Macaca fascicularis: one gene and its partners. The protein of the gene in region 3 purifies or fractionates together with the protein of the main gene of each other region. This does not show direct contact. Links are inferred from orthologs where the notes say so. Each region holds a gene or a part of one and is shown on either strand. Other genes may lie near its edges.

Region 1 (3,644 bases), on a different chromosome or scaffold from region 3:
TGGGGGGCATTGCGCCCTCCAGGGTGCTGGAGGATTAGGGTAGTTGATGCATCTGAAGTGCCCTTCTGCCTGGACCCAGTGCCCTGTGTCCAGCTGCCCCTGGCCTCCCTGACTGTTGACTGCCTTGCAGGTGGCAGAGCTGAAGCAGGAGCTGAAGTTGCGATCACTGCCCGTCTCAGGCACCAAAACTGAGCTGATTGAGCGCCTTCGAGCCTACCAAGACCAAATCGGCCCTGTCCCAGGAGCCCCCAAGGCCCCTGCCACCACCTCTATCCTGCACAAGGCTGGCGAGGTGGTGGTAGCCTTCCCGGCGGCCCGGCTGAGCACAGGGCCAGCTCTGGTGGCAGCAGGCCTGGCCCCAACTGAGGTGGTGGTGGCCACGGTGACCAGCAATGGAGTGGTGAAATTTGGCAGCACAGGCTCCACACCGCCTGTGTCTCCTACCCCCTCAGAGCGCTCACTGCTCAGCACCGGCGATGAAAACTCCACCCCCGGGGACACCTTTGGTGAGATGGTGACGTCTCCCCTGACGCAGCTGACTCTGCAGGCCTCGCCACTGCAGATCCTCGTGAAGGAGGAGGGCCCCCGGGCCGGGTCCTGTTGCCTGAGCCCTGGGGGGCGGGCAGAGCTAGAGGGGCGCGACAAGGACCAGATGCTGCAGGAGAAAGACAAGCAGATCGAGGAGCTGACGCGCATGCTCCGGCAGAAGCAGCAGCTGGTGGAGCGGCTCAGGCTGCAGCTGGAGCAGGAGAAGCGAGCCCAGCAGCCCGCCCCAACTCCTGTCCCCACCCCTGCCCCTCTCGGCATGCCAGTGAAGCAGGAGAACAGCTTCTCCAGCTGCCAACTGAGCCGACAGCCCTTGGGCCCTGCTCACCCATTCAGCCCCAGCCTGGCGGCCCCAACCACCAACCATGTAGACCCTTGTGCTGCGGCCCCGGGGCCCCCGTCCGTGGTGGTGAAGCAGGAAGCTGTGCAGCCTGAGCCCGAGCCGGTCCCCGCCCCCCAGCTGCTTCTGGGTCCTCAGGGCCCTGGCCTCATCAAGGGGGTTGCACCTCCCACCCTCATCACTGACTCCACAGGGACCCACCTTGTCCTCACCGTGACCAATAAGAATGCAGACAGCCCTGGCCTGTCCAGTGGAAGCCCCCAGCAGGTACCTGGGTATGGGAGGAACCGGGCAGGGCCCAGAGGAGGGTGGGAAGAGCGTCTCGCTGCAGCCCTCGTGGGCCAGGGGTCCCCTCGTGCTGGGCATTTTGTGTTTGCTTCGTTTAATCTTCCTTTCGACCCTCTGAAATGAGCGGTCGTTATCCCCATCTCACCACGGGGAGCACTGAGACTTAGGAAAGTTAAGGCACCTGCCTGAGACCCCTTAGCCGTAGGGCGGAACCATTGGCGAGCTCTCCACCTCTCTGGCTGTTGAGACTAGAACATTTTTGCATCTCAGCAGAGGACTCCTGAGCAGCCCACACCAGGCTGGGCCTGCCTTAGTGCTGCTCTATGGGGAGTGGCCAGTGAAGGTCAGAGGTAGCCTGCCCTGGGGAGAGGCTGTGGGGTCCTCTGGCCAGGATCCAGCTCAGGGTCCTCCCCTCAGAGAGGCCAGCTCTCCCCACCGAGGTGTCAGCAGCAGAAAGCTCCCCAGCAGACCTTCTCTCAGCCTGGGCCACAGGTGAGGCTGCCCTAAGGCTTTATGTAGCCTTGTGGTCCTGCAGAACTTGGGGGTGGAGGAGACAGTGACAGGAACAGGTACCTCAGGATAGGAGATGGGGGTCCCTGAGCAGACCCAAGCAGAGAAAGAAGCTGCAGAAATCTCAGGGAGTGACCAGCCCAGCGCAGAGACCTCTCCCAAACCTCAAGAGGCCAGGCACCCCCTGCAGGGTTGAGGGTCCCCCATCCTGTATTCCTTCTTACCTAGTGGCTTTCACGAAAGCTCCCTAAAAGCCAGTGCCCCCCATCTGCCCTCCTGGAGTGTGAGAGGCCCTGGCCTTATCCCCACCCCTCACCCCTACAAGGCAGGTCTGTACCCCCAGCCCCCTGGCCACTGGTCCTCTCCCTGTTCTCCTGTCCAGCCCTCATCCCAGCCTGGCTCTCCAGTGCCTGCCGCCTCTGCCCAGATGGACCTAGAGCACCCACTGCAGCCCGTCTTTGGGACCCCCACTTCTCTGCTGAAGAAGGAACCACCTGGCTATGAGGAAGCCATGAGCCAGCAGCCCAAACAGCAGGTGAGGAAGGCGGGCTGGGCCTGGCCATTGTGGGCGGCTGCCCTAGGCTGCTGGGCTGAGGTTCCTACAGCCCCAGCTGCAGGAAAAGGGGGCAGGTGAAGCCCAGCTTCAGGGTCAGAGAGGCCTTGGGGAGTGGGCCGTTGGGGGATGGGCACCAGGAGTCCGGACATGCCCGTGGGTGCTGTGGATCTGGCTGCTTATTCTGGTAGAGGGAGGGGCCTCATTCATAGTTCAGGCTGGGAGCCCCCATTCAAGAGTTTCATCTTTTTTTTTTTTTTTCTTTGTCCCGCAGGAAAATGGTTCCTCAAGCCAGCAGATGGACGACCTGTTTGACATTCTCATTCAGAGCGGAGGTAACCCCAGATCCCCTGCTGCCTCCTGACAGCCTTCTCTGTTCATAGGTGTCTCTAGCCCTGGGTTGGTTTGTTTTTATTGAATGCTTCCATGCGTGACTGGTCTTGGGCAAGCACTGTGGATGCAGTGGTGGCTGTGAGCCCTCCTGTCTCCAGGGCCTGGATGAGAGGACCAGGGAAGGTGTCGTCCTTCATTCAGCAGGGAGCACTGCCCCAAGGCCCTCGCCTGCCAATGAGCAGAAGAGACATTTGCCCTTGTGGAGCTCACAGTGCAGCCTGGGGAGGTGGACAACAAGTAGAAGAAATAAGCAGATCATATGGAAGATCCGAGAGGAGCCTTAGGACAAAAACGGAGGGGAGGGAGAGGTCTGGGGAGCCTGGTGGGGAAGGGCCGGGATGGCTCCTGTGAGCAGGAGCAGCTGTGTGCATCTGTGCGGCCTTGGGAGTGACTGGCGAGTTGGAGTGTAGTTGAGGAAAGGGAAAGAAGGGCTTTGTGGCCAGATCATGCGTGGCCTCCTGGGCATCAGGGCAGGGTGGCTTTGGCTCCATTGTGTGGGAAGCCATCGCACAGCCTTGGGTAGAGTGGCCTGGTCTGATGCAGGACCCAGGAACCTTCCAGCTGCTGTAGCGATAGCAGCTGCGCAAGGGCAGAAGCAGGGAGCCCCAGGTTGGGGGTGGTGGGAGAGCAGGGCTGTGGCCCAGCAGGCAGCAGTGGCAGGCGGAGGAACAGCTGGAGTCGGCCCCATTTGGAAAGAGCCAGGTTGGTGTGTTTATGGATGAGGTGTGGAGAGAGGGAAGCAACAGCCAAGGATGACTTCAAGGGCTGTAGCCTGAAGGGCCAGGGTGGAGCAGCCATTGATGGGGTGAGCTGGGGAGGGGGCACGTGTGGGACCACATTGTGCAGTCCCTGATGGGGTGTGTCATGAGTGGAGGGTTTACAGGGACAGTTGACATCGAGTGGCATTTGTAAGAGAGGTCTGGGCTGCATGTAGGAGTTGGGGTGTTGTCGCATCTAGATTGGCAGTTGGAGCTGGGAGGCTGCCCAGGGCGTGAGGTGAGGGAGCAGAGGTCG
Region 2 (3,644 bases), on a different chromosome or scaffold from region 3:
TAGTAGAGATGGGGTTTCACCATGTTGGTCAGGCTGGTCTTTAACTCATGACCTCAAGTGATCCACCCGCCTCGTCCTCCCAAAGTGTTGGCATTACCGGTGTGAGCCATCGTGCCCAGCCACGAAGGAACTTTCTACAAATAGTCTTAAGATCAGAAGGCAGCCTTTGTTAGGCCATCAGTTGGTTTTAGGTTAGGAGAATGCATTCATTGAAACACAGGATTACGTTTTGCTGTACTCCAGAAAAGAAAAATTCTGGAGCTGCTTCTAAGATTCAACTTTCCCTGTCTGAGGAGTGTCCTTCCAGTGTGATACATTTGCAATGAATTTGTTCATTAGCAATGTTAGTGTTCTAGGAGCTCTTTGTACATCATGCCTTTGCTATATTGTATTTCTGAGGTTCAAGAATGGCCATCAGACCAAACTGCCTCACAATGTGTCCATGATGCAAAGTCATTCTCAGTCATGGCCTAAAGCACGTGCCATTTCCTCATCCTCTTTGCAGTCCAAATCCTTGGGTGACAGTAAGAACCGCCACAAAAAGCCCAAGGACCCCAAGCCAAAGGTGAAGAAGCTTAAATATCACCAGTACATTCCCCCAGACCAGAAGGCAGAGAAGTCCCCTCCACCTATGGACTCGGCCTACGCTCGGCTGCTACAGCAACAGCAGCTGTTCCTGCAGCTCCAAATCCTCAGCCAGCAGCAGCAGCAGCAGCAGCAACACCGATTCAGCTACCCAGGGATGCACCAAGCTCAGCTTAAGTAAGTCCGGCAAGCCTGGGAGAGTGGCTGTGGGCAGAGGTTGAGAAGGGTGTCTGTTAATATCTATCTGATGTACGTGGGGCCAGCACCATGGGGCCTAGCAAGTCCTGTATTGCACCATTTCCTCATCCAGTATGTTTGGAAGCTGATTCAATTTAGAAACTATGCACACCTTTTCAGAGCCATAAGACTGGGATGTATCTGCAGATGTATTCCAAACCCTCAGTGGATACCTAAAACCTCAGATAGTACTGAACTCTACGTATAGTGTATTTTTCTTAGGCATACATATCTATGATAAGGTTTCATTTATAAATTAGGCACAGTGAGAGATGAACAATAATAGCTAGCAACAATATAGAACAATTATAGCAAGATACTACAATAAAACGTATGTGGATGTGGTGGTTTCTCTCTCAGAATAACTTATTGTACTGTACACATCTATTTTTGAACCACAGTTGACCTCAGGTAACTGAAATCTTGTAAAGTGAAACCGCCAATAACGGGTGGACTACTATAAATCAGTGCCCTTGGTAAAAGGTCCCTTTGGGAAATAGGAAAGGATTAGCATTTTCAAATTGGACTGTGGAATGTCTAAGAATGTGATATTGGAATTATGAGCAATTCCGATCCACTTCTGCTTTTGGAAAGAACATTGCTGAGCAGCGGAGAGAAATCCTCAAAGATTGACTCTTGAGCCCAGGTTGTGTGACCACATCGCTACATCACCTTTTAAATCGTCAATATCCCTACATGTAAAGTTGAGGTAGGATTCCTCCTGTCCTCCTCAGACTATGCTAGCGATTACGCCAAGCGCTAAACACAACCAAGCTTCACCAGGTGGGTTTGGCCTCCCCAGGACAGAGCAGCAGCTGAATCACAGGTGGATGTGTGCCACAGTCCCCACCGCTCCCTCTTATCTCCCTAAACAAAGTTCAGATGTCACACACCACTTGCCATCTAGCCGGCCCTGTTGTTTTTCCTCACCCTGCTCCCTTCTGCTGGTTTATTACATGCCTGACCCTTGCAGGCCATCACTTTGGGATCCGATCTAAACGCAAGTTATACCACCAATATTTGATTGTACCTGAAGTGCCTCTTTGTTTGTCTTTTAGAGAACCAAATGAACAGATGGTCAGAAATCCAAACTCTTCTTCAACGCCACTGAGCAATACCCCCTTGTCTCCTGTCAAGAACAGTTTTTCTGGACAAACTGGTGTCTCTTCTTTCAAACCCGGCCCACTCCCACCTAACCTGGATGATCTGAAGGTATAGGATTTTGCATGAGTTTCTTTCTTTTTTTAAACAAATACAACAGTATGTTGTTAACAGCACCACGACCAACTGGTATCTGGAGTAAGAGAGTGGGAGGGAAAGAAGACCATAGGAAACGCTGAAGGAGGTGGCAGAATTTATCCTGCTGTGGTTGAACACCCCAGTTGACTATAGCCCATTTTACGCAGCCGTAACAGGATACCGGAAACTGGGAAATTTGTGAAGAAAAGAAATTTATTTCTCACAGTTCTAGGGCTGAGAAGTCCAAGGACATGGCACCAGTATCTGGCGAATGCCACCCCATGGTAAAAGGGCAGAAGGTGGAAGGGCAAGAGCATTTGAGATAGAGGGAAAAGACAAACGTTATGTTTATTTCACCATAGTAAAAAATAATTTTTAAGTAGGCTATTTCTAGATAAGAGTGAGACAGGAGACAAGTAAGACAGGAGATGCCTTAGTCACAGAGAAACATGATCCAGATATGATAGTGCCATCTGTCAGACCCCTCAAAACCCACTTTTGGGAGGCTGAGGCAGGTGGATCCCTCTAGATACACATGCTCAGAAGCATTGGCTGGTGAGAGTTATAATAATTAGTGTAGGTATAAAGAGATGATGATGATGACGATGGTGCCTATCAATTTTTTTTTCTTTTTTTTTCTTTTTTTTTTTTTTTGAGACGGAGTCTCGCTCTGCCGCCCAGGCTGGAGTGCAGTGGCCGGATCTCAGCTCACTGCAAGCTCCGCCTCCCGGGTTTACGCCATTCTCCTGCCTCAGCCTCCCGAGTAGCTGGGACTACAGGCGCCCGCCACCTCGCCCGGCTAGTTTTTTTTTTTTTTGTATTTTTTAGTAGAGACGGGGTTTCACCATGTTAGCCAGGATGGTCTCGATCTCCCGACCTCGTGATCCGCCCGTCTCGGCCTCCCAAAGTGCTGGGATTACAGGCTTGAGCCACCGCGCCCGGCCTTTTTTTTCTTTTTTTGAGATGGAGTCTTGCTCTGTCATCCAAGCTGGAGTGCAGTGGCACAGTCTCGGCCCACTGCAAGCTCTGCCTCTCGGGTTCAAGCAATTCTTCTGCCTCGGCTTCCCTAGTAGCTGGGACTACAGGTGCCTACCACCACACCTGGCTAATTTTTGTGTTTTTAGTAGAGACAGGGTTTCACCAAGTTGGCCAGGCTGGTCTTGAACTCCTGACCTCAGGTGATTCACCAGCCTTGGCCTCACAAAGTCCTGGGATTACAGGCATGAGCCACCCTGCCCAGCCCCTACCAATTTGTATTTTTTAATATGAGCCATCCGTCATTTATTCTGTGTAGATTTGCTTTAATTTTCACCCCACAAGATAAGTTTTGTCTCCCCAGTTTAAAAAGTGAAAATAAAACCAGAATCATAGAGCCGGGCGCGGTGGCTCACGCCTGTAATCCCAGCACTTTGGGAGGCTGAGGCGGGCAGATCACGAGGTCAGGAGATCAAGACCATCCTGGCTAACAAGGTGAAACCCCATCTCTACTAAAAATACAAAAAAAAATTAGCCGGGCGAGGTGGCAGGCGCCTGTAGTTCCAGCTACTCAGGAGGCTGAGGCAGGAGAATGGCGTGAACCCAGG
Region 3 (3,744 bases):
AGACTCTGTCTCAAAAAAAAAAAAAAAGAAAAAGAAAAAGAAAAAAAAATCTCATGGAATGGATAGCAACATTGATTAATATTGCGTTTGGAGTGATCAGATCACTTGTCACTTGTTTCCAGGCACAGGGCTTACCAAGAGGCAGATTCCAGATTTAAATAATTCGGTAACAGCAAAGTCCATGCTATTTTCACTGCTTTGGAGAAAAGATCCAGACCCAGAGCTTGAACCTCACTTTGCAGCACCCCAGTTCTATTCTTTAAGTAATTTTTTTTTTTTTTTCTGCCAGGCACAGTGGTTCATGCCTATAATCCCGGCACTTTGGGAAGCCGAGGGTGAAGGATAGCTTGATGCCAGGAGTTCGAGACCAGTCTGGGCAACATGGCAAAACCCCATCTCTACAAAAAATACAAAAATTAGGCCCGAGTGGTGGCGCGCACCTGTAGTCCCAGCTACGTGAGAGGCAGAGGTGGGAGAATCGCTTGAACCCGGGAGGCGGAGGTTGCAATGAGCTCAGATCACACCACTGCACTCCAGGTTGGGCGACTGAGCGATACCCTGTCTGAAACTTTTTTTTTCTTTCTCCAACGGGCTTTCCAGAGAAGGGTGTGTAGGTGCGTGTGTGTGCGTGAGCGTGCTTGCTTGCATAAACTTTCTGTCGGGCCACAATTTCCCGTCTTTGCACTGGCTGTAGGGTGGGCTTTATCCTCGGGACGCCCCCCTCCCCCAGCCCAGCCTGCAGCTGGAAGTCTTCAATGATCTCCGTCTCTCCTCCCTGCCCGCCTCGGGACTGGGAGACCGATCTCTGTCTCTCGCCCTCCCCTCCACCCGCCTTTTCCAGATGTATGTCTGCCAAAGACCCCCCAGTGCAGAGGATGATGAATGAGGACCCGCGAGCCAGCCTGGTGGGAAAGTGTCGTCGCCTACAAAAGCAAGGGAAAGGGAGGGGAAGTTGGGGGGAGGGGAAAAGTTAGAGCTGAGCGGCTGGGGTGCTACGAGTCTGGACACCGGGGATCCAAGCTCCCTCCGCTCAGCCAATAACTGTGCCTCCCTTAGGAAGGCGTGAGGAAATGCTCCAATCAATCCCTGCACTCCTCCCTTGGAATTTGGGCTGTATTTTTTTAATTGACTGCAAACCCCACAATCCACCTAGGGGTTTCCCCAGTGTTTGTCTCCAGCGGTCCCGGTGCTGGAGCCCATTTCCTAGTGCTGCTCCCTCTCTTCCGCAAGACTGCGCTCCAGTCCCAGGCTACTTCTCCGCGGGTGCTTCCCAAACCGTTCTATCATTCTCGGGTTCAGGGAGGCGGAGTCGCGCCTGCTCTCCGGTTCCTTTAAGAGGCGTCGGCTCCACCCCTCTCGGAGTCGCGGTCTGACGCGAGAGGACAGGAACGAGTTTGGTATGTCTATGCAAATAAGCGCTCCCCTGCGGGCCAATGGGGAGCGGAGGTGCCGGAACCATGGACCAATGGGGCGGGGGCGCTGGGGCTCACCATATAAGGAGCGGCCTCGCCATAAAAGGAAACATTGTATCTCTTTATATGGGGGGAAGGGTCGGGGGATCCCTCCGCCGCCAGCGCGTGGTCCCGGCCCCCTCCACCCGCCGTCTCGGCCGCGGCCAGCAGCCCCTGCCCCCCGGGGGACGCTGAAGGCCGCCGGGCGCGCCGCCCTAGCAGACGGACAGGGGGCGCTGCGCGCGGCCTGGGGCAACCCGGGCCACAGGGGCAGGAAAGTGAGGGCCCAGGTCGGCCCGGGCGTGCAGGGGCCCCGGGTTCGCAGCGGCTGCCGCGGCAGCGATAGCGGCACTAGCAGCAGCGGGAGTGCCGGGTTGAGCCGGGAAGCCGATGGCGGCGGCTGCGGCTCCGATTCCTCGCTGACTGCCCGTCCGCCCTCCTGCATCGAGCGCCATGTTACCGAGCCAAGCTGGGGCCGCGGCGGCTCTGGGCCGGGGCTCGGCCCTGGGGGGCAGCCTGAACCGGACCCCGACGGGGCGGCCGGGCAGCGGCGGCGGGACTCGTGGGGCTAACGGGGGCCGGGTCCCCGGGAATGGCGCGGGGCTCGGGCCCGGCCGCCTGGAGCGGGAGGCTGCGGCAGCGGCGGCAACCACCCCGGCGCCCACCGCGGGGGCCCTCTACAGCGGCAGCGAGGGCGACTCGGAGTCGGGCGAGGAGGAGGAGCTGGGCGCCGAGCGGCGCGGCATGAAGCGGAGCCTGAGCGAGATGGAGATCGGTATGGTGGTCGGTGGGCCCGAGGCGTCGGCGGCGGCCACCGGGGGCTACGGGCCGGTGAGCGGCGCGGTGAGCGGGGCCAAGCCGGGTAAGAAGACCCGGGGCCGCGTGAAGATCAAGATGGAGTTCATCGACAACAAGCTGCGGCGCTACACGACCTTCAGCAAGAGGAAGACGGGCATCATGAAGAAGGTACCAAGCCGGCGGGCTGGCTGGCCCCGGGGCCCGGGAAGGGTGGGGATGCGCAAGGGGAGCCCGGGAGGACGGCAGAGCCGAGGCGGAGGTGAGAGGCGGCGAGTCCGCAGGAGGTGTGTGGGAGGGGATGGCTCCTACCCGGGGAGGGCCGAAGGGGAGGGGCCGCCGGGGAAATGTGGGGAGAGGGGAGATCCCGCGAACGCCGGGAACCTTGGGGAAAGGCGCAGAGGTGGGAGTGACCGGCGCGAGAGAGGAAGGAGGGCCCTTGTTGAGTGGAGGTTTGAGGAGCGGTCATGGGAGGCTGCGAGGCTGCCGGGGAGGTGAATAATGAGAAGCCGGGATCAGTAGGTCCAGTGCACTCCGGTGTTTGGAGGAGGGCGCTGGAAAAGCAGGGAGCAAACGAGAAGGTATGGAGGTGAGGAGGCTGGAGCTGCATGACAACAATGAGCGAGCATGTGTGGGAGGAAATGGGCACCACGAGAGTAGTGCTGGTTGGAAGGACAGGCAGGGTTAGGGACCAGGTAAGGGAGCGGGGCAGGAGAACTGGTGCTGCCCTGAGCAGCAGGAACCTAGTCCCGCGCCGGCCGTGAGTGTTCCATGGCATCCGCTGGGAACCACATGCTGCTCCTGGCAGGACCCGCTGCAGAATCTCCTGCCGTTAGGACAAGTGGGGTTTCCAGCCCTAGGGAGAATCTATGCATGGATGGGGTTTGGGGGAAATCGGGGAGGCTTGCAGAGGTACCTAGGAATTCCTCTTCTGCCAGCCAGTGAAAAGTGGTGAGGAAAAGAGTCATTTTGGGGTGTAGATGATAAGGGAAGGGATGAAAGCAGAAGAATTGGGAGACAAGTAGCTGGATCCTTGGGAACATTGGCTGGTGTTTATTTCTGTCCCATGTAGAAACCAGAGCTGCTTCCAAGGTGGTTCGTAGAACTTTGTTGGGAGAGTATGGCATCTGTGGGGCCATCCTTGAAGGTCCCCTTCCTGGGCTCATGGCAGGATGTTTAGTGCTAATCTAGGTCTCGTCTCCCCTCACTCTAGACACTGTTGTATCAATGTCCCTTGTCACTTGATCATCAGTGGAGAAGGTTGTGGGGGGAGGTAGTTAATGAAGGAAAATTCTCTTCTCCCCTTCCATAACCTTCTTCCCAAGACAAAGTAAAAAAGGCAGTAAAGTATTACAGGACAACAGGAGAAACTAGGCTATGGCAACAAGTTGGAGCCTGTGCAGTTTCTGGAAAGAAACATGGGACAGTTGGAGCTTAAGTGGTCCCTTATCACTAATGTGCAAATTCCAGTGTGATAGGTAGGGATCCATCCTGGTCC

The links.
Region 1: the proteins of SRF (region 3) and MRTFA purify together in Homo sapiens (affinity purification with western blotting; 4 studies listed by BioGRID and IntAct, with this or other methods). This does not show direct contact. The link is inferred for Macaca fascicularis from reciprocal best matches to the Homo sapiens genes SRF and MRTFA.
Region 2: the proteins of SRF (region 3) and MYOCD purify together in Homo sapiens (affinity purification with western blotting; 3 studies listed by BioGRID and IntAct, with this or other methods). This does not show direct contact. The link is inferred for Macaca fascicularis from reciprocal best matches to the Homo sapiens genes SRF and MYOCD.

The regions. Positions count from the first base shown.
Region 1 is NC_088384.1:11,216,544-11,220,187, forward strand, and holds part of MRTFA (myocardin-related transcription factor A), read left to right. Parts: intron 1-130; coding exon 131-1,153; intron 1,154-2,066; coding exon 2,067-2,219; intron 2,220-2,511; coding exon 2,512-2,572; intron 2,573-3,644. UniProt on the Homo sapiens protein: Transcription coactivator that associates with the serum response factor (SRF) transcription factor to control expression of genes regulating the cytoskeleton during development, morphogenesis and cell migration.
Region 2 is NC_088390.1:12,813,052-12,816,695, forward strand, and holds part of MYOCD (myocardin), read left to right. Parts: intron 1-505; coding exon 506-762; intron 763-1,880; coding exon 1,881-2,034; intron 2,035-3,644. UniProt on the Homo sapiens protein: Smooth muscle cells (SM) and cardiac muscle cells-specific transcriptional factor which uses the canonical single or multiple CArG boxes DNA sequence. Acts as a cofactor of serum response factor (SRF) with the potential to modulate SRF-target genes.
Region 3 is NC_088378.1:128,360,606-128,364,349, reverse strand, and holds the start of SRF (serum response factor), read left to right. Parts: upstream 1-1,518; 5' UTR 1,519-1,904; coding exon 1,905-2,417; intron 2,418-2,645; exon of another isoform or gene 2,646-2,713; coding exon of another isoform or gene 2,714-2,827; intron 2,828-3,744. UniProt on the Homo sapiens protein: SRF is a transcription factor that binds to the serum response element (SRE), a short sequence of dyad symmetry located 300 bp to the 5' of the site of transcription initiation of some genes (such as FOS).